Linked DNA regions of Macaca fascicularis. The protein of the gene in region 6 purifies or fractionates together with the protein of the main gene of each other region. This does not show direct contact. Links are inferred from orthologs where the notes say so. Each region holds a gene or a part of one and is shown on either strand. Other genes may lie near its edges. The genes, in order: IKBKB, STAT1, MET, ARRB1, ARRB2, SRC and KDR.

Region 1 (3,500 bases), on a different chromosome or scaffold from region 6:
AAGAGGAAGGAGGAAGGAAATTCTAAGGGGAAAGATTAAAGTGAGCAAGGCACGTTTGGGAGGTGGTGGGTAGCTGTCTTGGCCTCAGGAAAGGGTTTGAGTGCTCACAGGAGGCAGGCTCTGCAGGGCCAGGGGAAGGAGCTTGGAGTTTGTCATGTGAACCACTACATCTGGCAGCGTGGGATCTAGATTCTGTAGGGGTCACCTGAGCTAGGATGTGCTTATAAAGTGTATTTTAAAAACCTCATGAGTCATTCTTTTTCTTTCTTTTTTTTTTTTTGAGACAGTCTCCCTCTGTCACCCAGGCTAGGGTGCAGTGTGGCACAATCTCGGCTCACTGCAACCTTTGCCTCCCAGGTTCAACTGATTCTCCTGCCTCAGCCTCCTGAGTAGCTGGGATTACAGGCGCGCACCACCATGCCCGGCTGATTTTTGTATTTTTAGTCGAGATGGGGTTTCACCATGTTGGCCGGGCTGGTCTCAAACTCCTGACCTCAAGTGATCCACCTGCCTTGGCCTCCCAAAGTGCTGGGATTACAGGCATGAGCCACTGTGCCTGGCCTTCATGGGTCATTCTTATGCAGCTATTTGGAGGTCAGGAATCTCTGATTTCAGGGTATTTTAGAATTCAGGAGAGAGGTGTGAACACCTGAATAATTGATTGGAAATGTCTATACTGTTTCTGATAAACCCATTTTCATTTTCAATCACCATCTGTTGGCTGCCATCTGTGCATATACTGGGAGACACACACTGTAGCCCAACATTGGCTGGAAGTGTCTCCTCACACACTCTGCTCCTCTCCACAGCGTCCTGGCTGAGCGACTGGAGAAGTGGCTGCAACTGATGCTGATGTGGCATCCCCGACAGAGGGGCACAGATCCCACGTATGGGCCCAATGGCTGCTTCAAGGCCCTGGATGACATCTTAAACTTAAAGGTGAGCATGGAGCCAAGTTAGCCCTGAGGCAAAAGCTGGGGTCCCCAGCGGAGCATGCACTTCTTAGGATAGAGCAGGGGATGGGGCCAGCTGACTTAGTGAGAAAGTTTAGGCTCCTGCATCAGTCTTTCTGCATAAGTAAAGAAAGGACAGTTGTGCTATTTGACATTGGCTATGAGGTCATAGCCACAGACAGGATTATGAAAGACGAAAATATGCGAAACATGGCACCTGACCTCCCTCCGTCAAGCCAGGCCGTTGCTTTGTGTGGTTGGGAAATGTTGGGAGTAGCAGAGAGAGGACCTAGGCAAATAGATGCGCATCTCCTTGAAGAAATTGGTTTTCCAGTAACATCTGGGTTGTGTTGCAGCTGGTTCATATCTTGAACATGGTCACAGGCACCATCCACACCTACCCTGTGACAGAGGACGAGAGTCTGCAGAGCTTGAAGGCCAGAATCCAGCAGGACACGGGCATCCCAGAGGAGGACCAGGAGCTGCTGCAGGAAGCGGGCCTGGCGTTGATCCCCGATAAACCTGCCACTCAGTGTATCTCAGATGGCAAGGTAAGCCCTGGCTTCGTACACACCACCCTGTTTCCCTTGGCTGTGCCTCTTGGGAAACTCAACACACCTTCAGATTTCAATTCTGCTTTGTCATGTAGTCTGTTTATCATACAGTGTGGATACCTGCCTGGTGTTTAAGTTGGAGTATGGTGTCCTCTGTGTGGCCTGATAGGAAACACAAATCTCCTTGCTGGACTTGTTACTTCCAGACCCTCCAAGACCGTTCTCTTGCCTTTATTGCAAAAAATGATGCGGTAGTACTTGAATCGCTCAAGTTGCCAGCTTGGCCCTCTTCCAAGTATACTTAAAAAAAAAAAAAAAAAAAAAGATGCTGCACTGTCTTGAGTCAACTGAAACTATTTATGATGGCCTCTGTGTTAGGCACCTGTGTTAACTATAGCCGTGTAAGACATGGCCTCTGCTCAAAAAGAGCTTCTCACCTGACTTGTGGAGATAAAGTTATCATATGAGAAATAATCATTGCATAGGGAAGTATATAGTGAATTTCTGAACTTCACAGGGATGACAGTAAAATAGAATGTAATAAGTTTGTAAATAAGGAGTGTGTTCCAACAGTAAGTGTAGGCTGGAAACGTTGGGAGAAAGACTTCATGTATGCTTCGTACTTGCTGGCTGAAGATGATGCTCTTGCCAAACAGTGGGGAAAGCTCTGGAACCTCTTCATTATTAGAAAAGAGAGGATTGGATCCACAAGATTCATTTTGTTCTTGTCCCTTTGCAGTTAAATGAGGGCCGCACATTGGACATGGATCTTGTTTTTCTCTTTGACAACAGTAAAATCACCTATGAGACTCAGATCTCCCCACGGCCCCAACCTGAAAGTGTCAGCTGTATCCGTAAGAATTTGTTTTGTTTTGTTTTTCTAAATAATCAGTTATAATATGTGGGACAAGGCAGGGGAGGGAGACTGGACTAAGGAAAGGGGAGCCACATGAAGGAAATTAGTATCGCCAGTCCTCGGGGCAGCCTTCCTTATTTAGGACATGCAGAGAGTAGCCAGGCAAGAGACAGTACAGGAAACCATTAGTGAATTTCAACCTCCTAGGCTGGGCATGGTGGCTCACGCCTGTAATCCCAGGACTTTGGGAGGCTGAGGCAGGAGGATCGCTTGAGCCCAGGAGTTCAAGACCAGCCTGGGTAATATAGTAAGCTCTCATCTCTACAAAAAATTTAGAAATTAGCCAGATGTTGTGGTGCATGCCTGTAGTCCAGCTATTCAGGAGGCTGAGGCAGAAGGATCACTTGAGCCTGAGAATTCAAGGCTGCAGTGAGTCATGATCACTCCCACTGCATGCCAGCCTGGGTGACAAGAGTGAGACCTTGTCTCTTAAAAAAAAAAAAAAAAAAAATTCTATTGAAAATATATGACCCTATATACATATGTGTCCAAATGGTTCATAAAGTGTTTCTTCAAATCAACAGCTACTTATTGACCACTGGTACATGCTGTTGGTACAAATACATGTATGTGACAGTAACCAGGCATAACACCCTCCAAAGTTACATGATCCTATAGTAGGTATAAAACGTGAAAGTGCCAGCAGTGTTGAAGGCAGGATGTGGTTAATTGTAGGAGAGTTATTGTGGTTATTTTTTGACAATTGCCTCTGTCTTTGTCTCCAGTTCAAGAGCCCAAGAGGAACCTCGCCTTCTTCCAGCTGAGGAAGGTGTGGGGCCAGGTCTGGCACAGCATCCAGACCCTAAAGGAGGATTGCAACCGGCTGCAGCAGGGACAGCGAGCCGCCATGTAGTGTGCCAGGCTTTTTTTTTTTAAACTTAATTTATTTAAAATTGCTTGGTGGCTTTGGCCACAGGGAGGTGGCTGAGGCAGGGACCCAGAAGCAACTGTTAATGAGCAACAAAAGGGAGACACTGGTTTGGACAGACGGGAAGCAGTTGGGTGGGCTGGACTGAGGCAGGCCCCTTTAGACCTGATGAGGTGAGTGTGGTCGGCCCAGGGCGAGGAGTATGGAAC
Region 2 (3,500 bases), on a different chromosome or scaffold from region 6:
TAAACTACCACAAATATCTGTGGTTCACTCTCTGGAACATATTGTGGAAATGATGGTCTTGAAAAGACAAGGCCAGTTCCTTCCTTTGCATCAGGTTCGTTATCTGCAGATCAAGGATGTGAGTCAATATAATCTGCAACCCGTTCTTGGAAGGAATCACATTTCCCACAGGAGTAAGCGTCCAGATTCTCTTAGGGTCATCCCAGAGTAGAGTGTGCAGTGAGGACAGGCTTCGGGAGAAGACTTCGTACACATCATTAGCCAGGGAGTTGATGCAGGGCCTGTTGGGACGAGTGGCAGCCTCTACCCTGCCTTCAAACAGAGCAGCTGCAAATTTATCTTTATCATATATTGGGTTTCTATCTAATCAAATGAGTCCATGGCTAAAAGACTCCAGAAACCTTGATGTTATGAAGCAGGTTTCTGAGGGTGAAGCTCAACAGCATAAATGAAAAAATCATGAAGACCAACTAATGACTTTTCACTGTTGTTCAGAGTTTGGTCTATTTGAAGGGCAGGAGGAAAAACTGATTTGTTTCAGTAATCTTTTTTTTTTTTTTTTTTTTTGTTGTTGTTGTTGAGACAGAGTCTCACTTTGTCACCCAGGCTGGAGTGCAGTGGCTGTATCTCAGCTCACTGCAAGCTCCGCCTCCCGGATTTACGCCGTTCTCCTGCCTCAGCCTCCCAGGTAGCTGGGACTACAGGTGCTCGCCACCTTGCCCAGCTAGGTTTTTGTATTTTTTTTAGTAGAGATGGGGTTTCACCATGTTAGCCCGGATGGTCTGGATCTCTTGACCTCGTGATCCGCCCGTCTTGGCCTCCCAAAGTGCTGGAATTACAGGATTGAGCCACCGTGCCCAGCCTGTTTCAGTAATTTTTATACTTTAAGTGGGTAGACACAAAATGGAATATTCTTCTTGTTCTATTTATTTTTCTGAAATATTCCTCTTTTCCTATTTTTCTGGAATACTCCTATTTGTTTTTCTGCCGTACTCTTCTTGTTCTGTTTGTTTTTCTGGAATACTCTTGCTTTATTTGTTTTTCTGGAATATATTCTATTTTTCTGGAATACTCTTGTTCTATTTATTTTTCTGGAATACTCTTGTTCTGTTTATTTTTCTGGAATACTCTTGTTCTATTTATTTTTCTGGAATTCTCTTGTTCTATTTGTTTTTCTGGAATGTATTCTATTTTTGTGGAATACACTTGTTCTATTTATTTTTCTGGAATACTTTTGTTCTGTTTGTTTTTCTGGAATACTCTTCTTGTTCTATTTATTTTTCTGGAATACCCTTCTTCTATTTATTTTTCTGGAATATCTTCTTATATTTATTTTTCTGGAATACTATTCTTTCTTGTTCTATTTATTTTTCTGGATTACTCTTCTTGTTCTGTTTGTTTTTCTGGAATACTCTTGTTCTATTTATTTTTCTGGAATACTCTTCTGTTTATTTTTGTGGAATACTCTTCTATTTATTTTTCTGGAATAGTCTTCTTGTTATATTTATTTTTTTGGAATACTCTTCTTGTTCTATTTGTTTTTCTGGAATACTCTTCTTGTTCTGTTTTTCTTCTGAGGAAAAAGCAGGGAGGCTGAGACGAGAGTCTGGCATGGGCAGTAGTCATTGGAACCTGCCCTTTTCCTCTTACCCTGTTCCCTTCCTGAACTAGCCGAGAGACAGAGCTAGCAGACCAAGCAGAGATGAAGAAAACCCTTGGCAACCAGAAAAGGTCAAGCAGGACAGTACCAGCCAGGAAGGGTTAGGATAGCAGCATAGTCTCATGTTCCACAGCAGGCTCCCCAGAGCACCTGAACCGTGGCCTCTGGAAGGTGGACACCCAAAGGGAGATTCTGTATCAGCTAGGAAGAAGGATCTGAATTTGGTGTGGGAATAAGAATGGGAGTAAATTAAACCATGGTTTTTACATTAAGGGTTACAGGGAAATGTAGGAAATAGGATCTTTTTTTAATTTCAAAGTGTTTTCTATATATCATCATTTATTTTAATACAAAATTAGATTTTTCAATATGAAAAGAAAAACAGAAAGTGAGTTTATCTTTAATAATTTAAATCTATGGCTTAAGCCAAGATGACCCACTTAGTAGTGAGTTATTTATGTGCCTATGGGCAGCACATTGTTGAAGATGCAGGCTTTTAAAGGTTTTTAGTAAATCTTTTTTGCCCAGATTTATAAATCTAAGCAAATAATGGCAAATAGAATGTTATTGAGAATAGTACCTCCCTTTATTTTCCCTGAGACAGTATTATAATTTATTTAGAAATAAAGCAGTCTATTATGTGTGTTGTAACGCTTAGATTGGGATTAGTTCTTATGAGGTTCACTCAAATCCATCAACTCTGCAGTGTTTTATTTCTCTGTCCTCTTTCATTTTGGGATATTCTACGGGATTCACTTAGCTTTTTTCCTTTTTAGAACCTTACTTCCATGCGGTTGAACCCTACACGAAGAAAGAACTTTCTGCTGTTACTTTCCCTGACATCATTCGCAATTACAAAGTCATGGCTGCTGAGAATATTCCTGAGAATCCCCTGAAGTTTTTGTATCCAAATATTGACAAAGACCATGCCTTTGGAAAGTATTACTCCAGGCCAAAGGAAGGTAAGTGGGGCAAGCGGGTGGTAACAGCGTGGCACAGTCCTTCCTGATGAGGGGGTGGTTATTCTCAAACTCCACCCATGTGGTGTTTTGCTTTTGAATTGGTAAGAGTAGGCTTTCAAAAGATGGTATAAACTCAGTGCAGGTGAAACATAATGCATTATTTGGCCTGATACAGCTAGTAAAAAATGAATGGACAATTTCCTATTTTAGGAATGTTGGAAAAGTCCATTGCTGGTCTTGTGTATTTGTTACTATCACTGTTTCCACATGAAAAGGGGTAAAGAATAAGGAACTGTGGCCAACCAATGGAAGGCATCTTGCTCACATTAAAGTTGAGGAAACTGAGGCCTGGGAGAAGTGAAGTGGTTCGTTTAGGGTGGCCCAATTACTTACTAGATCCTATTTTTTTAACGTAATTATTAAGAGGAGGCCTCATCTGAGAACACAGGTCTCTTGCTTCTCAGTTGTCAATGAATTGCATTTGAGAAAGTTCAAATTAGACCTGTTTTGTTTGGAACACACCAACAAAGCTGTTTTTCAGAATCAGAAATCTCAATATTAGGACAATTACTTTGGAATGAAGATGCCCCCAGCTTACCTTGACAGCTATGAAGATTCATTAGCCAGGCTAATGCCAATAAACTAGATAGAACTTTGCATATTTTGGGCTCCAACTTCTTGTAAGAATTCAAGTTGTGTAAAGAGAAAGCTCCTAGCTAGTGTCCTGCTGAAATCTGCCCTTTTCTTCTCATTGCCTATGCATTCCCACTAGAATTTTAGGTGACTCAGGCAGGGAGGTTATAGCCCCTTAAAGTTTTAGGATGCTAGGCTGCCTAGAAGCACAGTAGAACTTTAATCCCCCCGAAAAGTTGATGTTC
Region 3 (4,197 bases), on a different chromosome or scaffold from region 6:
TTTTTTGTTTTTGTTTTTGTTTTTGTTTTAAATGAGCTGTAGTCATTGATAAATTATGCCATGCAGTATCAGGAAATCTCCAGTCAGGTCGCATTGTTTATTTAGCCAGCGGAGGCCTCTTGGTATGGTGTGAAGGACACCTGACTGGGCTGAGAGCTAAGTTCTAACCTTGCCCCTCTTACTAACCAGATGTGTGACTCTTCCGGGAACTCTTAGGGACTCAGTTTCTTTACCTGCAAATGGTTCAATTCAATAGTAACGTAACGGGAACTTTCCTTTTCCATAAAACTGGGGAATCACGAGATAATCTCTTTTGAAGATTGAAATCACTCTTATGTAACTTCTGGTAATGCCTGGCACTTGGGAAATGATAACTATTCTCACTGTATTTTTCTATCTTCCATTCTGTAGTAAATAAGACCTGAACCTGCATAGTAACTGTTATTTTAACCCATGACTTTCAATAACGAAGAGATCTATGTCTCATTATCTATTACCATGATTGAACAAGCCCGTGTGAGATGCTTGAACAGGCCCATATAAGAGCCGGAACGAATTCAAGTCCTAACCAGCAATGCCCGTTCCTTAGATCCTACTACCTTTGAGTGTTCATTTACTATTGTAGGTGTCAATTTTTATAGCGAAATATAAAGTTATCCCAACACAATTACACCTAATAGAGTACACCAAGGCCCCAAAAGCTCTGTTTTAAAAATCATCGTAAGACTTCAACATTCAAGAATTAAACTTTTGTTCTATTTTGCTTGTTCATCGCTATTTGCCCAGTTATTTAATCAGTCTGCTTCTGGCTATGAAAAAAAGAAAAAGAAAAAGAAATGGAAGTCTCCTCGTGGTTAAACTCCTCTGTTGTTCTTCCTTGCAGAAATCTGAGTTATTACAGTAGAGGATAATCGTTGCATAATGAAATCATTGGGACAATTCATCCATCCACTTCTACCGCCGCCTCTAACAGTGTGTCTGCGGTGCCCAAATCTCTCTATACTCGGGTGGGCGCGGGGCGGTTAGCGGAGACGTGGGAGAAGCGGAGAGCAGAGCTCGCGCCCTTCCCGGGGTCAGCGAGCGGAGTGCCAGGAGGGTGCGCGCCCTGCCTCTGCGCCCGGGGTGACACTCGCCTCCCAAGCGCCAGGAGGGGGAGTCTCGGTCCCGCTTATCTCCGGCTGTGCTAACTTCAGTCTGCCTGAGCTGGGGGAGGAGAGCGCGCAGCCAGGGCGAGAAAACTTCTCCACCTAGAAAGTTTCACCTTGTCGTGGGCGGGGCAGAGGCGGCAGGAAACGCGACCCCCGCGGGGCCAGGCGCGGCGCGGACGGCAGGAAGGGCGGGGGCCGATTTCCCTCTGGGTGGTGCCAATCCCCACCTCAGCGGTCCTCGGAACCCGCGGACTAGGCGGACGGACAGCGCGCGAGGCAGACGTACACGTGCTGGGGCGGGCAGGCGAGCGCCTCGGTCTGGTCGCCTGGCGGTGCCTCCGGCCCCAACGCGCCCGGGCCGCCACGGGCCGCGCGCGCCGATGCCCGGCTGAGTCACTGGCAGGGCAGCGCGCGTGTGGGAAGGGGCGGAGGGAGCGCGGCCGGCGAGCGGGCGGGCGGGGCGCTGGGCTCGGCCCGGCCGCAGGTGACCCGGAGGCCCTCGCCGCCCGCGGCGCCCGGAGCGCTTTGTGAGCAGATGCAGAGCCGAGTGGAGGGCGCGAGCCAGATGCGGGGCGACAGCTGACTTGCTTCGAGGAGGCGGGGAGGCGCGGAGCGCGCGGGTGGTCCTTGCGCCGCTGACTTCTCCACTGGTTCCTGGGCACCGCAAGGTAAAACTGCAGCCCCTTTCAAATCCCGCACCCCAGCCCTCGCCCCAGCGGTTCTGCTTTCTTTGTTCCCCTAAGAGACCTGACTGCTGTTCCAGGGGGAAAACCACGGAGGTGGGCTAGAGTTTACGGGCTTCGGAAACTGAAGAGACGTGGCCAGGGGAGGACGAAACTAGAATGGGGCTTGTCGTTTTAGGGTGTTGCCTCTGATGGCCACCTGTATGACTTAGGAGGGAGAGGGGCACTGGGACAGTGGGTAATGTATGACTGTTATGGCCCAGCAAGTTTTAAAGCTGGGATCTGACTCAGCCCTTACAAAAAGGATCCGGTCATCCTCGTCCCACCGTGATGCAGCCCGCAAGGTTTGAGCCTAGCTGTTTCCTTGTTCCCAGCCTTGCTTTATCTGTGTTATGCTGGGGTCCTTCCAAGGGGTAGGTGTTTCTGTGAAAGTCTGAATTCATTTCTGGCAATCACGCGGGGCTTGTGATCCATCAATTTTCCATCGTACCTTATCTCTTTCTGGGGCTTGTGGAGGACATCTATCTTATTAGGTGAAATAGATTATAACCAGAGGCTGGGCAATGTGGCCAGTCGTAGTGCTGACCCGATAATTAAAGCACCAGTGAAAGTACTTTCCCTGACTATTGTCAATGCAGAATTTACTCCCAAGTACGGTTTCCCATTCATATCTTTCATGTTTTAAAAGAGCCATTTGCTAATTTGGCAGTTGGAGAGGGCTCCAGTGGCTCACGCATGAATAGTTGCCCAGTGTATTTTACCTTATCACAGTTTTATGTTCAAAGGAGCCCTCGGGCAGAATGAAATATTGTCAACTCTCTTAGGCAAAATAATCAAGATACTTTAATTGCTATGTTAAGATGGTCCATGGATGTGAGAGGATTGTAAAAACTGACGTTGGAGGCAATATAGACTATCTGGACCCTCTCTTGAATTTTAAGAAGACTGTTCACATTCTGTAGCTTTGGGTGGAGGTTTATTCTGTCGCTTCCATCAGCCAGACACATGCACATTGCCATGCAAATAGATTCAGAAAAACATTATATCCCCTTACAGCTAAACTATTATAGCTGACTAATGAATTTTTTCTGCATGAAGATGATCTGAAAATGATGTACATCGTGTTTCTATGTGCTACAAGGACATAAATTGCATTTTTATGTAAATAGTGTAAGTGGTGCTTGGATTATTTACAGGTACATAGCTTTCCTTGCTTGTTTTAAGCTAATTGAGCTTTGTTTTGAACATGTAAACTTCCATAATGGAACATAAGTGAGGTACTTTGGTTCCTATCATTTGCAAGTCTGTGGTGTATTCAATGTTCATTCTTTTTAAACTGCTGAATAACAGAGGGAAAATTTACATCATTCATAAGAAATTTTTGTAGTACGAAAAATGTGTCTGATAGCCTATAAAATGTGCTGGTGTTTTAAAAATTCTATTCAGTTTTCAAACTTAATGGTGCATAAGCTATAGTTATTAACTTAAATATGTTTTGCTTTTAACATGATGGAATTTGTGGCATATAGAAGATGGTCTACCGACTACTGCTTTTTCAAAATTGCTTTGTTCTTGATACATGGCAATAGGGGTTTACATCAGATGTATACTACATGCTTTCAAAATTAGTGGATGGAGTTTATCTTCATGATAAAAATGTAGCAGATTAATCACAGCCAGTCAATATGAAAGCTCATAACTAATATTTTCACTACTTTTAAACCTATAATAGAGAAAAATGACCCTTTGCTAAGCAGGAGAAATACCCATATTTTATAAATTCCTTTTAAGACTATGTAAGTATATGCCTTGCATTAATCTTGAAGTCTTTAAAAAAATTTTGTCTGAATGAAGGCTAAACTAAGAAATACATTTCAAAACTCAATTTCCTTAGCTGTTGTGAAAATAGCGTTTGAAATAGCATTAGTCTAATTATCCTTCTGCAGAACTACATAATAGTCTCAAATACACTTTTTCTCAAATGTGGTCATCTCAAAACAAGGTGAATAACTCAGAGGGGCTAATATCCTCTAACTGGCTCATTTTCTCCAAGTGGCTGCACCAAGGACGTGATGACACCCCCATGGTGAGCACAGTTCCTCACACATTCGGATTACCTCCCATTTCTCTGTCCTCTTCCTACTCAACCTTTTCCTTTGGTTTGGTCAGAGCTGCTTTCAAGGCCTTCTGTGCCCCCATTTCTCCAGCCCAGTTTGCTGGTTTCTTCTTTAGGCATTAGGCTTAGTGATTCTCACCAGAGCCATCTACGCTTTCTTTTCCATGGTCTAAATCCCTAAGATTTCCTTGTTCTGCTGTGTTTATTCATGGGATACTCAATTTCCTCATTGTGCCCTCTTAAGGGGAGA
Region 4 (3,500 bases), on a different chromosome or scaffold from region 6:
CCTTTCCAATGAGAGAGCTGTCATGCAGCAGATAGTGAACAAGCCTTGGAGTCAGACGAGCTGTGTTCCAACCCCAGCTTTGCTGCTTGCTAGCTTGCAAGTCACATCTCTCTGAGCCACTTCCTCCTCTACACACTGGGGCAGCAGCAACCCCAGCCCCACAGTGCTTCCTGAGAAGTAAACAAGTCTGTGAATGCAAATGCCTCCCCAGCCATCCCTGCTGGTATTCGTTATGCAGACGCTGGCACCATCTGCAGTGGTTGCGATTTTCTACTCTTTAGGGATTATACGTTACTCTGGTTCTAGATCATTTCACTTTACCATCAGGAATCTATGCCTCATAGCTCTGATTTTTTTGAAAAAATCAACAGTGGATATGAAAAATATCCAATAACCAGAGAATGCTTGATCTAATCATAGCATGTTCACCTATAGGACATTAAAAACTATTTCAAAGGCCATGTAGTAACATTTAAAAAATGTTTTAAGTTGGCCGGGCGCGGTGGCTCAAGCCTGTAATCCCAGCACTTTGGGAGGCCGAGACGGGCGGATCACGAGATCAGGAGATCGAGACCATCCTGGCTAACACGGTGAAACCCCGTCTCTACTAAAAATACGAAAAAAAAACTAGCCGGGCGAGGTGGCGGGCGCCTGTAGTCCCAGCTACTCGGGAGGCTGAGGCAGGAGAATGGCGGGAACCCGGGAGGCGGAGCTTGCAGTGAGCTGAAATCCGGCCACTGCACTCCAGCCTGGGTGACAGAGTGAGACTCCGTCTCAAAAAAAAAAAAAAAAAAAAGTTTTAAGTTGCAAGAAATACTGATTGGAATTATATATAAACAAATACACATATACATGTAAAATTATATCGGGTGTAATTGCTCCAAGAAATTACTTGCAGGGCCAGGGGGGGAAAAAAAATGTGTGTGTCTTTGAATGGGAGCATTTACTTCCTTTAGGCAAGTAAAGATGTTTCACTTGAGATCTCTCCTCTTGCCTCAGCTGCCAACAAGCTTGGGACAAAGTTCAGTCCATGCTCAACCATAGTAGTTCTCCTCAAACCTGGATTGTCCCCCACACAACCTCTTTCACCCAATGAGCTGGATTACCCCTTTATCAAACAAGAGCTGTGTACCTAGTGCCTTACCCACTTTGCCCTGGCTACCAGAAAGTTCAAGAACAAAGTATTTCCCTTCAACCTAGGTTTCTTGTACAACGTAATTATCTTCTCTCCACAACCCCAATCCCCTTACATTCATTAGCTCTTGTTTTGTCGTTCTAGTTTTAGTGGGTCTCTTCCTTGACTGTAGCATGCATTTTCTTGTAGATAAATCAGGTGGATGGTTTCTAAAAGGCTCTTCGGGATCATCTACTCTGAATGGCAAGGAAGTCTGAGGCCCAGCCCTCTGCCAGGTGGAGAAGAGCCACCTGGACCTGTAACGGGACACCTAGAGCTTCTCTTTTTCCCACCGAATCCCACACGCCCAAGGCCAGACTTGTGCCCACTTACTCAGCCTCTTCCATGGCAACAGGGCACTTGTACTGAGCTGTGTTGAAAAGGCAGATGTCTGCATACTGGCGCACTAAGGAGGGAGAGGAATCGAGGTGGAGTGAGTCAGGAATGCAGCTCCCATGGAGTCTCACAGGCGTCCCGGGTTGGGGATATTCAGCCCCAGGCAATGGCCAGAGGCCACCAGTGGGGACTTCTGCATGAGACCACCCCTGTCTTCCATCCAAAGGGTAGCCCCAAACACATCCCTTTCCTTCCATAACCAAAGCCTTCCCCTCAAGGACAGCTTTGCCCAGAACCCAAGAAACTGAAGAGGTGGCTTAAAGAGCAAGCTCATTACCTGGCCAATAAGCAGCCTGCCTTACCCGACTCAAAAGCTTTGCCCTGTGGCTCAGAGCAGGCCCCAGGCTTCAGTGGCTATTTTTTATACAAGGCTGTTAACAAGGGGAGATCCTTCGGCCACTCCCAGCCCTTGGGAAGACTGCCTCTTGCTGTCCCCTAAGCTGACCCTCTGCCTGGGGTACCTGAGATCTTGATCTTCTTCACCGTCTTGTTGGTGTTGTTGGTGACGTGGACGTTGACACTGATGGGTTCTCCATGGTAATAGATCTGGGGGGCATAAGAAGGGATGGGGTTGGCTGGGCGGACAGCAAGGTCCTAGGGAAAGGGGAGGGAGAAAAGCCCCCACGCGATCTTCTGGGGTTCCCCAGACCTTGGGCAGACCTTCAGAAGGGTCTGCTGCTCCCTTCTGAAGTCCATCACATCCCTCAGGTTCATGCCCCCTCTGCCACTCCTTTAGGCCCAAGAGATTTCTCTGAATCCCCCAAGGCATTGTGACATTTGCCCCAAGTTCATCAGCCACTTCCCACTGCTGCTAAGGTGGCATGAAAGCCACCAAGCACATTAGCCTTCAGTTCCCTGGTGGGACCCTTGAAAGATAATGGAATTGGAAGGTGATAGTCCTGGGCTCCAGCCCTGGCTTGGCCACCAGTAATCGTGACAACAATAACAACAATAACACTGACGATGATGAAAGCAGTGTGACCGTGGGTAGGTTAAGCCTCAGAGTCTCCCTCTGTGCAATGAAGGGGTTGGACTAGGTGATATCTGAAGTCCCTGCCAGCTCTAAATTCTGTCCATGGAAGGATCTGGAAGAAGCAGGGAAAGGTGAGGAGGGGCTGACCAGCTCACTGAGGGAGCCAGCTCTGAATCCCCACAAAAAGGCCTCAACCTGCATCTTGCCCCAAGGCACTTCCCTTCAGCCATGCCCCAAGAGAGGGGGGGTGCCCACACGTTGAGGAGGGGCTAGCCCGAGCTCACAGCAGGCATCAGTCATCTGGGTTTGATTCAGAGCTTGAGGGGAGGCCCTTCCTTCAGCAGGGCTTGTCGCCCCGATGCTCAGGGTTTGGCAGGGAGGTCACAGCCCCCCACCGTACCCCCTCTGCAATGCTGGTTGACCTTCAGCACTCGGCCTGAAGCAGGCAGCTGGTGGAGGTGTGGGGGAGATGTCCAGGACCTTCGGGAGGGTCTGCTCCTCCCTTCTGAAGTCCATCACATCCCTCAAGTTCACGCCCCCTCTGCCATTCCTTTAGGCCCAAGAGACTTCTCCAAATCCCCCAGGAGAGGTCTCAGATTCCCTGAGCCCTGTGGTCCTTGGGCTGGGGGTAGAAGCTCCTACCTGAGGCATCCCTGCAGGCCAGGAGAGAGCTGGGATCTGAGGCCCAGGTCCTAGTGGAGCAGCCCCCACCCCCTGCCCAGTTCAAGCCTCCTACCTCCTTATCCAGGGAGGCCTCTAGGTGCAAGGGCTTGTCCGACATGAGGAACTGCCTGGTGGTCTCGGCTGTGGGCTGGGGGCCAGGCCTCTCTGGGGCATATTGAACCTTCCGGATGACCAGACGCACAGAATTCCTAATGGGGATGGATGGAGTGAAAGAGGACCAGGGTCACCTGCCTTCATCCCCTCTCCTTGCAAGCCTCACATCATTCTCCTGCT
Region 5 (4,099 bases), on a different chromosome or scaffold from region 6:
GGTTCATGCCATTCTCCTGCCTCAGCCTCCCAAGTAGCTAGGACTACAGGTGCCCACCACCACGCCCGGCTAATTTTTTGTATTTTTAGTAGAGACGGGGTTTCACTGTGTTAGCCAGGACGGTCTTCATCTCCTGACCTCGTGATCCGCCAGTCTTGGCCTCCCAAAGTGCTGGGATTACAGGTGTGAGCCACTGCGCCTGGCTGCTAATTTTTATATTTTTAGTATAGATGGGGTTTCCCTATGTTGGCCAGGCTGATCTCGAACTCCTGACCTCAAGTGATCCGCCCGCCTCAGCCTCCCAAAGGGCTGGGATTACGGGCTTGAGCCACGGCGTCTGGCCTGTATTTTGTAGTTTTTTAGTAGAGACAAGGTTTCCCCAAGTTGGCCAGGCTGATCTCCAACTCCTGACCTCAGGTGATGCACCCGCCTCAGCCTCCCAAAGTGCTGGGATTACAGGCGTGAGCCACCACGCCCGGCCTTAGGTTGCAGTGAGCCAAGATTGCGTCACTGCACTCCAGCCTGGGTGACAGAGCAAGACTCCATTTCAAATAAATAAATAAATAAAAAATAAAATAAAATAAAACTACCCAGTGATGGAGGTCCTAATGTCTCTATTTTCCAGGTGAGGAAACTGAGGCAGAGAGAGGTTAAGTGTTTTAAGGTCACAGAGAGAGTAAATGGTGGGAATTAATAGAAACCAAGGCGGTCTGGCTCCGAGTCCATCCTCTCAATCAATATTACACTATCCGTCTCTGTAGCTGGCATCAATAGTTTGTTCAATTGAAGGGTATTCGCTTTCCAGTTGCTGAAACAATTTAAGCCTGGACTCCACCCACTGCTGGGAGGGTAAGGAAGTGTTTGGCAATCCCAGTGATCTGGCCAATTGTGAGCCTATTCTTTGAAGCATCACCTTACTCCTTCCAATCCACTCTGCCTCAGCAGTGATCCCTGGAAAGGATCCTCAGATAGACAGCAGAACGTGAAATCCTGCCAACTAGCCCATCCCTCCTCCAACTCTACCACCCCATTCCCAGAGGACCCCAATGGGCAGGTTGCCGCAGTATCTGGGTAAGACTTAACCATCTTTCCATCTGGTCTACAGCTCTGACAGCTGGAGCATATAGGAGAGCAATGACTCTGGCCTTTGGCCCTAAATGGTTTCTACCATAGGCCCAGTTTCTGCTACAACTTCACTTGTCCCTTCTTCCCAGAAAGCCAAGCTGTCCAAAGATTATAAGGTAAAGGGTATGGAGGCTCCCAGGTATTCCTAACCAATAAAAGAGAATAAACATCGATACGGTGGCAGCTAGAATAAACATCCTATCTTTTGTCCCAACTTGGGGGCTGAGTGCTGTGGCATCATCCAGGCTCTCCCTCCCCTTTGCTTCTGGTTTTCCTCTTTGTCCCAGGGTGTCCTCCCATTAGGAGCCCTGGCACAGGGCTGTGACAGCCACAGTCAGTGGGCCAACTGCAGTGTGGCTCTGGGGCAACTGCCCTGGAGCAGCTGCAAGGCACCTGCCCTTTGGATCCTAACCCAGCCACCTCCTGCCAGGCTGAGGAGGAGCAGCGTGCAGATACTAGGCTGGCCAAGGAGGCAGAGTGTGGGGATGACCAGGGAGGTGCCCAATGGGGGCAGGGGTAGCTGAAGCAGATGTCCTTTCACACTTCCTGCTATTCTCTCCATTTCCTGTGGCCCAGAATTTGATGGAGGTGAGGGAAATTGGGTCAAGTCAGCAGTCCCCTTTGGTCCATCTGTCCCACTCCTTGAACCACATAACGGAAATCAGGGGCCTCCCACAAGGCAGCAACTTCCCCTTTCTCTGGGATGTTTAAACCCTAATCCAGGACACCGATCATCTCTCTGATGATCTCTTTCTGATACTCATCTACTTGACGCTCAGAAACCTGGGTTCTCCTACTCTATAGGTTGGAAGTGGGGTCGATATGATGCTTTGCAGAGCAAGCCAGAGCTCAGGACCAATTCCCTATTCCCGATCCCCTCTGGGTTGAGGCCTACAGCCCCAACCTTTCTGTCTTTTGCTCCTGCTCCCCTGGGACTCAGGCATTCACCCCTTACCCCTTGGGGGTGTTGAGTCACAACAGGAAGTGGATTTTGCTAGAGACCAAAAAAGAGAACTCGGGGTATCAGTGGAAGGAAAGAGCCTCGATTGCACAGAAAACATCCGGGGAGTGGACGCGCGCCCAGCGTGAATACTGCCTCCCCCACCCCCAGGGAGAGGGATCCGATCTAGTTTCAGGAAGGGTCAGGCTCTCCCAAGATGAAGCTGTTGTTGCTCCTGGCAACCCAGGGGAAGGTAGAAGTTTGGATGAGGAGCCACCCGGCCCTCGGGACAGGTGTGGGCAGCGCGACTACCTGGGGGATATTGGACAGGAGGCTTTGCATTGGCTTGGCACGAGTCTGGAGGGGATCCCCCTCCCAGCATCCAGCCTCCCCGTACACGACCCCTCGGGGCCAGCCACCTGCTCCTCCCTCCGTCCCTGCATCGCAGCCTGCCCAGACTCCTGGGCACGGGAGAGCCCAGTAGTCTGGCCCCACATCCCTGAGAGAACCCCGACACCGGTTTTTCTGATCCCCCTCCGGCCTCGCTTTCTGCAGGGGCCCGGGCATTTCCCCCCAACCTCATTATCCTCGAGGACCTGCGCGTGCGGCCCCGGATGGCTGTCCCTAGGGACCCAGGCGTCCGGCCCCCAGATCCTCTCCGCGGCGTCCTCGTCTGGGACCGTCCCAGCCCCCGCCCCGAGCCGCCGCCCATGCCCCGCCGCGTGGCCCCACCTCCCTTACCTGGTCCCGGGTTTCTCCCCCATGGTGCGCGCGCCCGCCGCCCGCTCGGTTCGCGGCTCGCTCGCAGCCTCCTCGCCCGCTGCCAAGATCCCTGCTCCTCCCCGCGCCAATGCGCACGCGCGCCCTCCGCGCTCTCGCCTCTTCCCCCTCCCTCCCGGCCCGGCTCTGGTCTGGGGGAACCGGGGCCAGATGCGTCAGCCGGATCGCGCGCGCCGCGGCGCTGCCCGCCCTCTCCTAGCAGACACACAGGGCCATTGGCTCCGCCCCCAACCCTTCGCGTTCCGTCCCAGCCGGGGAGCCCTCCCCCGCGCGCGGGGCCCGCTCCCGCTCTTCCCGCCCATCTCCCCGCCCCGCCGCAACCCCTTGAAACCGATTGGGCCCCCCTAAACCAAGGCTCCCGCCTTCCAGGGGATCTAAGTCTTTCGATTGGCCCTCGGCATCCAGAACCTTTAGGGGTCTCCTCCCCTTTGTTTGCTTTCTCAGTGGCGGTGGGGGCGACCGGGCTGTTGGGGGCGGTGGAATGAGCTGAAGCGCCGTCTGGGAAGGAGGATGGTGGGGGGGAACACGTGGGTGAGCAGTTCAATTGCGTGATACTTGCTTCAGTGCGCGCAGCTCACCTGCTCCACGCGGAGCGTACCGCCTTCTGTGGCCAGCCCTCCCGCTTCTTCACCGCAGCGTGTCAGCTCCTCCTGGTGTCTACATTTGATTTTCGCAGGGTTCCCTTTTCCAATGTCTCTGACTCTCCATCTCCTTCACCCACCCATCCCAGCTAACATCCACTCACTCACTCGCTCGCACCCATCGGTCCATCTATCGACCCACCCATCCGTGCCTATTTTATGCTATTTACTATGCCAATCGATGGGGACACATATGAATTACCATGGCCCCTGACTTCCTAGAATAGTTGAGGAGACACATACACAGGTATTACCCAGGAATGCTATTACAGAGGTCTGAGTCAGAAGACACAGCCACTAACAGCGCTCGGCCCGGGCGGGGGTGGAGCGGAGAACATATGAGGACAGTCTTTCTGAAGGATGTGCAGAAGTTTTTTTTCGTTTTCTTTTTTTTGAGATAGAGTCTCGCTCTGTTGCCCCGGCTGGAGTGCAGTGGCGCGATCTCGGCTCACTGCAACCTCCGCCTCCCAGGTTCAAGCACTTCTCTGCTCAGCCTCCCGAGTAGCTGGGATTACAGGCGCCTGCCACAATGCCTAGCTACTTTTCATATTTTTAATAGAGACAAGGTTTCATCACGTTGGCCTTGCTGGTCTCAAATGCCTGACCTCGTGTT
Region 6 (3,500 bases):
TCTGACGTCTAAGTGAAGGAACATTGGAGCACTGTGATATGAGGAGGGGCTCCCAATCCACCCACCCCCATCTCCCAGTCTACCCAGGGTCTTCCCTGAATGAGATTCCATCACTTCCAGGCCTCCTGGCAGCCCCAGCCTCCTGGCCAAACCTCCCCCAGCGCACCCCCCCCGGAAGGCAAGAAGAGTGGAGGGAAAGGGCTGGAAAAAGGCAAGCATGGGGCTGCCCTCTGACTCCAGGTGAAAAAGGCAGAACCAAAGTTATCCAAGCCCTTCCTGCCTCCACACCTCTGCCCCAGCTGTCACCCAGTCTGAGACGCTTGGTAGAGACTCCACCAGGACTTCAAAGCCATCCTGCTGGCGCCCCTCCCCTGCACAGGCCCCTCCCGCCTGTGGCCTCTGCTGCACCTCCACTGAGCCTTTCTGAAAGGACCATGGGTCGGAGGGCCAGCCTAGTCTTCCAGCTCTGCCACTACTAGCCATGTGACCTTGGGCAAGTCATTTCACCTCTCTGGGCCTCAGCTTCCTCATCTGTAAAATGGTGCAAGTAAGACTTCCCATTTCTCAAGGCTATGGTGATGCATAAATAAAATAATGCGAATTCAAGCACTCAGCAGGCTCACATAGAGAGCACAAGAAATGGTGACTTTGTCACTGCTGTTCATTCATCCTGTTCACCATCACCTGCTGGGCACCCGCCACTGTGCTGAGTTACAGGTGCTATGGGGACCCAGAAGTGAGGTGCACCAGAGAGCTGCCCTCCAGCAGCTCCCAGTTTAGGGGGGAAGCAGACACAAACAGCTGGTGACAATAAGAAAACTGTAGCTTCGCACCAGGACTCTGCCATGCAAGGGGGGAGGGGGAGCTGGGAGAGCCCCTCCCCTCCACGCACCCCCCCTCCCCCGCCGCCAAGAGCAGCTTGAGGAGGGCAGAAAGTTGCTGCTTCAGTTCCAGTCCTGGCTTTGCTACTTGGCAGCTGTGTGACCTTGGACAAGGACCTTCACATCGCTGAGCCTCAGTTTCCTCATCTGCAAAATGGAGACAGCCCCTCCCCGATCACTTCAACCCTGGCTAGACTGCAGAGAGGAGTCAATACGAGGACACGGGTGGAGACGACTGGCATGGCAACTGGCACCTCTGTTCCCTTTTGCCCCCTGAGAAGGCAGTCCTGCACTGATCTTGAGCCATGAACAGGAGTTCTCCAGGCAGACACCGGAGAAAGGGCATTTCAGGCAAAGGGAAGAGCATGCGCAAGGCAAGTAAGTGGGGTATGAGCAAGCCAGACACGCTCGGGGCAGTGGAAACCCCCAACTTCCTTAGCCAGGCCTTCGAGGACACCCAGGGATCGATTCTCCTCCGCCCTCTAGAACCTCTCTGCCTCTCACACCCGCGAAGGCGTCAGCCCCCTCCAGCCCGGCCCCCTCCCACAAGCTGCCCTTCCACCACTGCCACCTGCCAGAGAACTTCACTGGCTTTCCTTTGAGGCCCTTGACCCTCCCAATCCCTGTGGTCATCACCAGAGACAGGCCCACAGCAGGGGCTCCAGGAGCTGACTCTGGGCTCGTCCACTGCCTGACTCTTGGCCTGGACTGGGGCCATGGGCTGTCTCCCTGGCCACATGCTGGCTCCAGGAGGGCGTGGCCAAGGCCTTCTCCACCCAGGCCATCCCAGTCACAGCACTGGGTCCTGCATGCAGCGGACACTTGGGTGGGCTGACGGGGCAGAATGGGAGGGTGAGTGAGTAGGAAGGTGGATGGGGAGGAGGTGTGCAGGAGAGTGCAACGGAGGGGCCCCTGATCACAGCCTGGGGTTAAGGTCCAGGACCTAATCAATTGGTGGGGGGGAGAGGAGAAGCTGGGAGGTGAGGAGCAGCCAAGAGAGCCAGAGATCACAGGCAGGGAGTGGAAGCACATGCAGACAGCAGCCCCCACCCCCCGCAAAGCACCCTGCCCAGCCCGCTGCCCACAGAGCATGTACACACCTGACATCCACCTTCCTCCTAAGGGCCAGCAAGAGAGAAGCAGAGAGAGGGAGAAGCTGAGAGAGGGCTGGAGGGAGCAAGCAAGAGCCAGGGATTGGGAGGAGTTCCCCACGGCTGGGGGAGCGACAGCAGGTGCTGCCCAGGGCGAGAGTGCAGCAAGCGCCCGGCTCCGCACTGCCCTGGGCTCCGCACTGCGCTGCCCTGATGCCAGATCCTGCATGAGCCCCTGCCCGCATTGAAGTCCCACCACCCAGCCCTGACGGGCAGTAGGGAAGGGGGCACTCACGTGTTGTTGACAATCTGGAGCCGCTCGCCTTTCTTGAAGGACAGGTCTGTCTCCGTCCTAGACTCATAGTCATAGAGGGCCACAAAGGTGGTCACTCCACCTGCAGAGAGGGGTGGGGTATGTCAGAATGGTGGAGCCACACCCAGGGAAGGCGTGGGCAGGAGGGCCCTGTGCCCAGGAGGAGTGGGGATTTGTCTCCCACACACCACAAGCGCCCAGCCCAAAGACACGGTCAGGTTCAGTGAAGATGGGCCTGTGCATGTGTCCACTGCATCCGTGTGTCTGCACATCCCTGCAAGGGCATGTGGGAGCGGGAGCATCCCTTCCTGTCCGTGTCCGCCCCCAGGGCTTTGGGCAGTGCTGGGTCCCGGCTTATCTGTTTGGTGCCTGTCTTACTCTAGGACCAGAAGTCCCCAATAACAAGCATCTTTGTTTTGTTTCCAGAGCCAGGCACATAGTAGGTGCTCAAGAAAGAGCTGTAGGCTGAACAAAGCGGTGAATGAAGAACACTGCCCCAGGAAGACTTGCTCTCTCTCCGTAAAGTGTGTCACTCTGGGCGCTCCTGGTGTCCAGGAAGATTCGGCTCCAAGTAACTGTCCCCTCAAAAAGGCCCCCGTACCCCCTTCCACCATTTTAAGCTACAGCCTCCACCTCCACACATCCCCCAGCCCTCCCTCCCTGCCTGTTTTGTGTCTTGGCCGCAGCGCCACTTCTAACGCCCTCCACAAGCTGCCCTGTGCTTCCTTCCCCCAGGTGGGTTCCGTCTGCCCAGTAGAGGAGCCCCGGCCGGTAGTAGGAGCTCCATATATACTTCTTGAACAAATGAATGGTGTGTCCGTGGATCTGTTTCTCTCTCGGGCGTGCGTCTGCATCTGAGGGGTCCAGCCCTGTCCGTGTGTCTCTGAGTGTTCGCATGTTCTCGATGCACCCGTGTGCATCTGTCGTCTGGGCGGCCACGATGGTGACTTCCAGCTGAGCATGTGTCTGTGTCTTGTGTGTGTCTTTGAATGCGCGTCTGACGGCATGCGCGTGTGTCTTCATCTACAAGTGTGACGTCACCTGTGCATGTATGTGAGTTTGTATCTGGGTACATCTGCGTTGGGGATGTGTCCGCGGGTGTCTGTGACCCTGTCTCCACTCCGCATGTGTGCGTGTCCCGGGCAGGGGTGTAGCCGTGTGTGTGGCCCAGCGTGTGAGTGTGGAGAGAGTGCACGGGTCTGAGTGAAGTCTGCG
Region 7 (3,500 bases), on a different chromosome or scaffold from region 6:
CATACACGTGCATGTGTGCGCACACACACACACATACACCCCCATCCAAGTGTGGAGCCAGATGTCTTGGAGCCAGATGTCTATCAGTAGAATAAGCTATGGATGCCTTTGCTTGTGTGAGGTGTCACTTCCAGTCATTCACTTGTCTGGTTAGAGTTTAGGAACCTGAAAAATGACCAACTTTTCTAGTAAATACCATTAACTCATTAATAAAACTAAATTTTCTTCTAGATTACAGATCTCCATTTATTGCTTCTGTTAGTGACCAACATGGAGTCGTGTACATTACTGAGAACAAAAACAAAACTGTGGTGATTCCATGTCTCGGGTCCATTTCAAATCTCAACGTGTCACTTTGTGCAGTAAGTTGCATCTCCTCCAATCGTCTCTTAAGTTTTTATATTTTTAAGCGAATAGTAAGACGGGTAGCCTGTTTATAATATTCACAATGAGTTTTCAGGATCCTTTACGAAGGGCGAAATACACTGAATAAAACTAATTAGTATTCTTAAAAATAAGATGAATTCTTCAGTGATCATTGTACATGGCTCTCATTTTTGGTACTGGATTAAATATTTGGTATTTCTTTTTATTACCCAGAGGTACCCAGAAAAGAGATTTGTTCCTGATGGTAACAGAATTTCCTGGGACAGCAAGAAGGGCTTTACTATTCCCAGCTATATGATCAGCTATGCTGGCATGGTCTTCTGTGAAGCAAAAATTAATGATGAAAGTTACCAGTCTATTATGTACATAGTTGTGGTTGTAGGTAAGAGGAAAGTTCCTTTCCATATCATTAATAACAGATAGTAGAGAGTAACTCCTTGTATTAAGATCTTGGAGATAACGATGTACAGTGAAGAAGGATATTGAAAAGTATAGGAACTCAGGATATGGTGTTGGGCAATTCATCTGCTCTTCTCTACCAAATAAACCCATGTGCAATTGAGGTTGTCTCTTTTCTTGCCAAGATCAAGGATGAAAAAGAAATTTTTTTTTAAAAAAGGATGAAAATGAATGGTATTACTGGAGCTCATTTATGCTCAATGTTCGGAGCATTGCTTGCTATCAATTATTTCAATTATACCTATTTTATGGAAACTTCAGCAGTTTGCTAAAGCTGGCCCTACTGGCCTAGGGCTACTGACCACTGAAATTTTGCTACTTTTCTATCCACTGGGTTACAACATCTTTGAGATCTGTGAAGGTAGTGCTTTGTAAATCTCTGTTGGCCATTTTTCTGGGAGCTACCAAGTATTGGTGAGGCCTGCAGGGAAAAACAATGTGGTGTGTTTTAAAGTTGCATTACTTTAAAAAATAAATTTGTGCAAAGTTATAGGCTTATTTTCTCTCTCATGTTCTGTTTTTTCAATTTACTTGCTCTAGGGTATAGGATTTATGATGTGGTTCTGAGTCCGTCTCATGGAGTTGAACTATCTGTTGGAGAGAAGCTTGTCTTAAATTGTACAGCAAGAACTGAACTAAATGTGGGGATTGACTTCAACTGGGAATACCCTTCTTCGAAGGTAACACTAATGATTCAAAGCCAGACCTCCAAATACTTAGATAATAAGACCCAATGAAGTTTGCTTGAGAGATAGGGGCCTCTTTGGCCAGATAAAATTTAAAAGTCTTAGAACACACACACACACACACACACACACACACACACACACACACACACACACACACACAAGTTAAGGGAATTGCAGAACAGATAGCACCCACAAAAAGGTGAAATACCAGGAATTTTGTCCTGTTCTGCAACAGCCAGTCTATGAATATTAGTTTTCTCTAGGTGATTACATCTTTCCACATTATGTCATTTCTCTTTTCTCCAAAGTTTTTGATCTACATTCCTTTTAAGGGAATTTCTCTTTAAGAGGTGGCACGAGATACTCTGCTCCTTAAACAGTGGTCACATTTACTTGTGTTTCTGCAGTTTATATCCATCTCATTTTCGCCATGTGAGGTTTTAAAAATCCTAATTCAGTTGGTTCCATTTATTTCTCCTGAAACCAAATACATCATTGGCTGCATGAGGTTAAAAGTTCTGGTGTCCCTGTTATTAGCATTAAATAATGTTTACCAAAGGCCAAGATTTAATTCTCTGTGTTACTAGAAGTTATTGGGTAATGTTATATGCTGTGCTTTGGAAGTTCAGTCAACTCTTTTTTCAGCATCAGCATAAGAAACTTGTAAACCGAGATCTAAAAACCCAGTCTGGGAGTGAGATGAAGAAATTTTTGAGCACCTTAACTATAGATGGTGTAACCCGGAGTGACCAAGGATTGTACACCTGTGCAGCGTCCAGTGGGCTGATGACCAAGAAGAACAGCACATTTGTCAGGGTCCATGGTAAGTTATGGTCTCCTTGGAAATTATTCTGTGCCTTGACAAGTGAGATAGTTTAAATAAATTTAGGTCACTTAGTGATTCCTAGTTTGTTCATTCAGAAGATACTTCCTAGTTCTTCTTGTTAGGGAGGCCACATGACCTAGAGGTCAAGAGCGTAGCTTTGTAGTCAGGAACTTGAGTTCAAACTTCAACTTTAAAGATGAGATGTGCTGATATATACTAAGAGCTCACTTAGTATTACTTATTATAGTTGTTGCTGCTATTAGGATTATTACTATGATAAATAGTATTAGCTAGGGTAGTTTTTAAATTTTTGTTTTATTATAAGGCTGAGAGGCCTACCTGAATAAGCATGAGCTTTGCAAACTGGGGAAACATTTAGCAATATATAGTTGGACCTGTGAACAATTCAGGGGTTAGGGGAACTGACCCTCCCTCTGCAGTCAAAAATCCATGTATAGGCCTGGCGTGGTGGCTCACACCTGTAATCCCAGAACCCTGGGAGGTGGAGGTGGGTGGATCACCTGAGGTCAGGAGTTCAAAACCGCCTGGTCAAAATGGTGAAACCCCATCTCTACTAAAAATCCAAAAAATTAGCCTGGCGTGGTGGTGGGAGCTTGTAATCCCAGCTACTCAGGAGGCTGAGGCAGAAGAATTGCTTGAACCCAGGAGGCGGAGGTTGCAGTGAGCCGAGATTGTGCCATTGCACCCCAGCCTGGGCAACAAGAGCAAAACGCCTTCTCAAAAAAAAAAAAAAAAAAAAAAAAAATTCAAGGTATAACTTTTGACTTCCACCAAATGTAAATAATGACCTACTGTTGACTGGAAGCCTTACTGCTACATAAACAGTCAATTAACACATATTTCATATGTTATATGTATTATATACCGTATTCTTATAATAAAGCTAGAGAAAAGAAAATGTTATTAAGAAGATCATAAGGAAGAGAAAATATATTTACTGCTCATTAAGTGTAAGTGGATCATCATAAAGGTCTCCATCCTTGTCTTCACATTGAGAAGGCTGAGGAAAAGTGGGAAGAGAAGGGAGTGGTTTTGCTGTCTCAGGGGTGACAGAGGTGGAAGAAAATCTGCTTATAAGTGGACTCATGTAGTTCAAATTTATGTTGTTTAAGGGTCAA

Evidence for each region.
Region 1: the proteins of SRC (region 6) and IKBKB purify together in Homo sapiens (affinity purification with western blotting; 3 studies listed by BioGRID and IntAct, with this or other methods). This does not show direct contact. The link is inferred for Macaca fascicularis from reciprocal best matches to the Homo sapiens genes SRC and IKBKB.
Region 2: the proteins of SRC (region 6) and STAT1 purify together in Homo sapiens (affinity purification with western blotting; 3 studies listed by BioGRID). This does not show direct contact. The link is inferred for Macaca fascicularis from reciprocal best matches to the Homo sapiens genes SRC and STAT1.
Region 3: the proteins of SRC (region 6) and MET purify together in Homo sapiens (co-immunoprecipitation; 4 studies listed by BioGRID and IntAct, with this or other methods). This does not show direct contact. The link is inferred for Macaca fascicularis from reciprocal best matches to the Homo sapiens genes SRC and MET.
Region 4: the proteins of SRC (region 6) and ARRB1 purify together in Homo sapiens (affinity purification with western blotting; 3 studies listed by BioGRID and IntAct, with this or other methods). This does not show direct contact. The link is inferred for Macaca fascicularis from reciprocal best matches to the Homo sapiens genes SRC and ARRB1.
Region 5: the proteins of SRC (region 6) and ARRB2 purify together in Homo sapiens (affinity purification with western blotting; 4 studies listed by BioGRID and IntAct, with this or other methods). This does not show direct contact. The link is inferred for Macaca fascicularis from reciprocal best matches to the Homo sapiens genes SRC and ARRB2.
Region 7: the proteins of SRC (region 6) and KDR purify together in Homo sapiens (co-immunoprecipitation; 5 studies listed by BioGRID and IntAct, with this or other methods). This does not show direct contact. The link is inferred for Macaca fascicularis from reciprocal best matches to the Homo sapiens genes SRC and KDR.

Annotation. Positions count from the first base shown.
Region 1 is NC_088382.1:45,830,133-45,833,632, forward strand, and holds part of IKBKB (inhibitor of nuclear factor kappa-B kinase subunit beta), read left to right. Parts: intron 1-809; coding exon 810-939; intron 940-1,309; coding exon 1,310-1,504; intron 1,505-2,246; coding exon 2,247-2,361; intron 2,362-3,148; coding exon 3,149-3,272; intron 3,273-3,500.
Region 2 is NC_088386.1:86,671,598-86,675,097, reverse strand, and holds part of STAT1 (signal transducer and activator of transcription 1-alpha/beta), read left to right. Parts: intron 1-2,436; coding exon 2,437-2,622; intron 2,623-3,500. UniProt on the Homo sapiens protein: Signal transducer and transcription activator that mediates cellular responses to interferons (IFNs), cytokine KITLG/SCF and other cytokines and other growth factors.
Region 3 is NC_088377.1:158,137,298-158,141,494, forward strand, and holds the start of MET (hepatocyte growth factor receptor), read left to right. Parts: upstream 1-1,397; 5' UTR 1,398-1,816; intron 1,817-4,197. UniProt on the Homo sapiens protein: Receptor tyrosine kinase that transduces signals from the extracellular matrix into the cytoplasm by binding to hepatocyte growth factor/HGF ligand. Regulates many physiological processes including proliferation, scattering, morphogenesis and survival.
Region 4 is NC_088388.1:74,139,767-74,143,266, forward strand, and holds part of ARRB1 (beta-arrestin-1), read right to left. Parts: intron 3,416-3,500; coding exon 3,280-3,415; intron 2,117-3,279; coding exon 2,032-2,116; intron 1,581-2,031; coding exon 1,508-1,580; intron 1-1,507. UniProt on the Homo sapiens protein: Functions in regulating agonist-mediated G-protein coupled receptor (GPCR) signaling by mediating both receptor desensitization and resensitization processes.
Region 5 is NC_088390.1:4,804,851-4,808,949, reverse strand, and holds the start of ARRB2 (beta-arrestin-2), read right to left. Parts: upstream 2,801-4,099; 5' UTR 2,778-2,800; coding exon 2,644-2,777; intron 1-2,643. UniProt on the Homo sapiens protein: Functions in regulating agonist-mediated G-protein coupled receptor (GPCR) signaling by mediating both receptor desensitization and resensitization processes.
Region 6 is NC_088384.1:93,496,231-93,499,730, reverse strand, and holds part of SRC (proto-oncogene tyrosine-protein kinase Src), read right to left. Parts: intron 2,368-3,500; coding exon 2,268-2,367; intron 2,000-2,267; coding exon 1,982-1,999; intron 1-1,981. UniProt on the Homo sapiens protein: Non-receptor protein tyrosine kinase which is activated following engagement of many different classes of cellular receptors including immune response receptors, integrins and other adhesion receptors, receptor protein tyrosine kinases, G protein-coupled receptors as well as cytokine receptors.
Region 7 is NC_088379.1:78,783,092-78,786,591, forward strand, and holds part of KDR (vascular endothelial growth factor receptor 2), read left to right. Parts: intron 1-231; coding exon 232-362; intron 363-600; coding exon 601-769; intron 770-1,386; coding exon 1,387-1,526; intron 1,527-2,180; coding exon 2,181-2,358; intron 2,359-3,500. UniProt on the Homo sapiens protein: Tyrosine-protein kinase that acts as a cell-surface receptor for VEGFA, VEGFC and VEGFD. Plays an essential role in the regulation of angiogenesis, vascular development, vascular permeability, and embryonic hematopoiesis.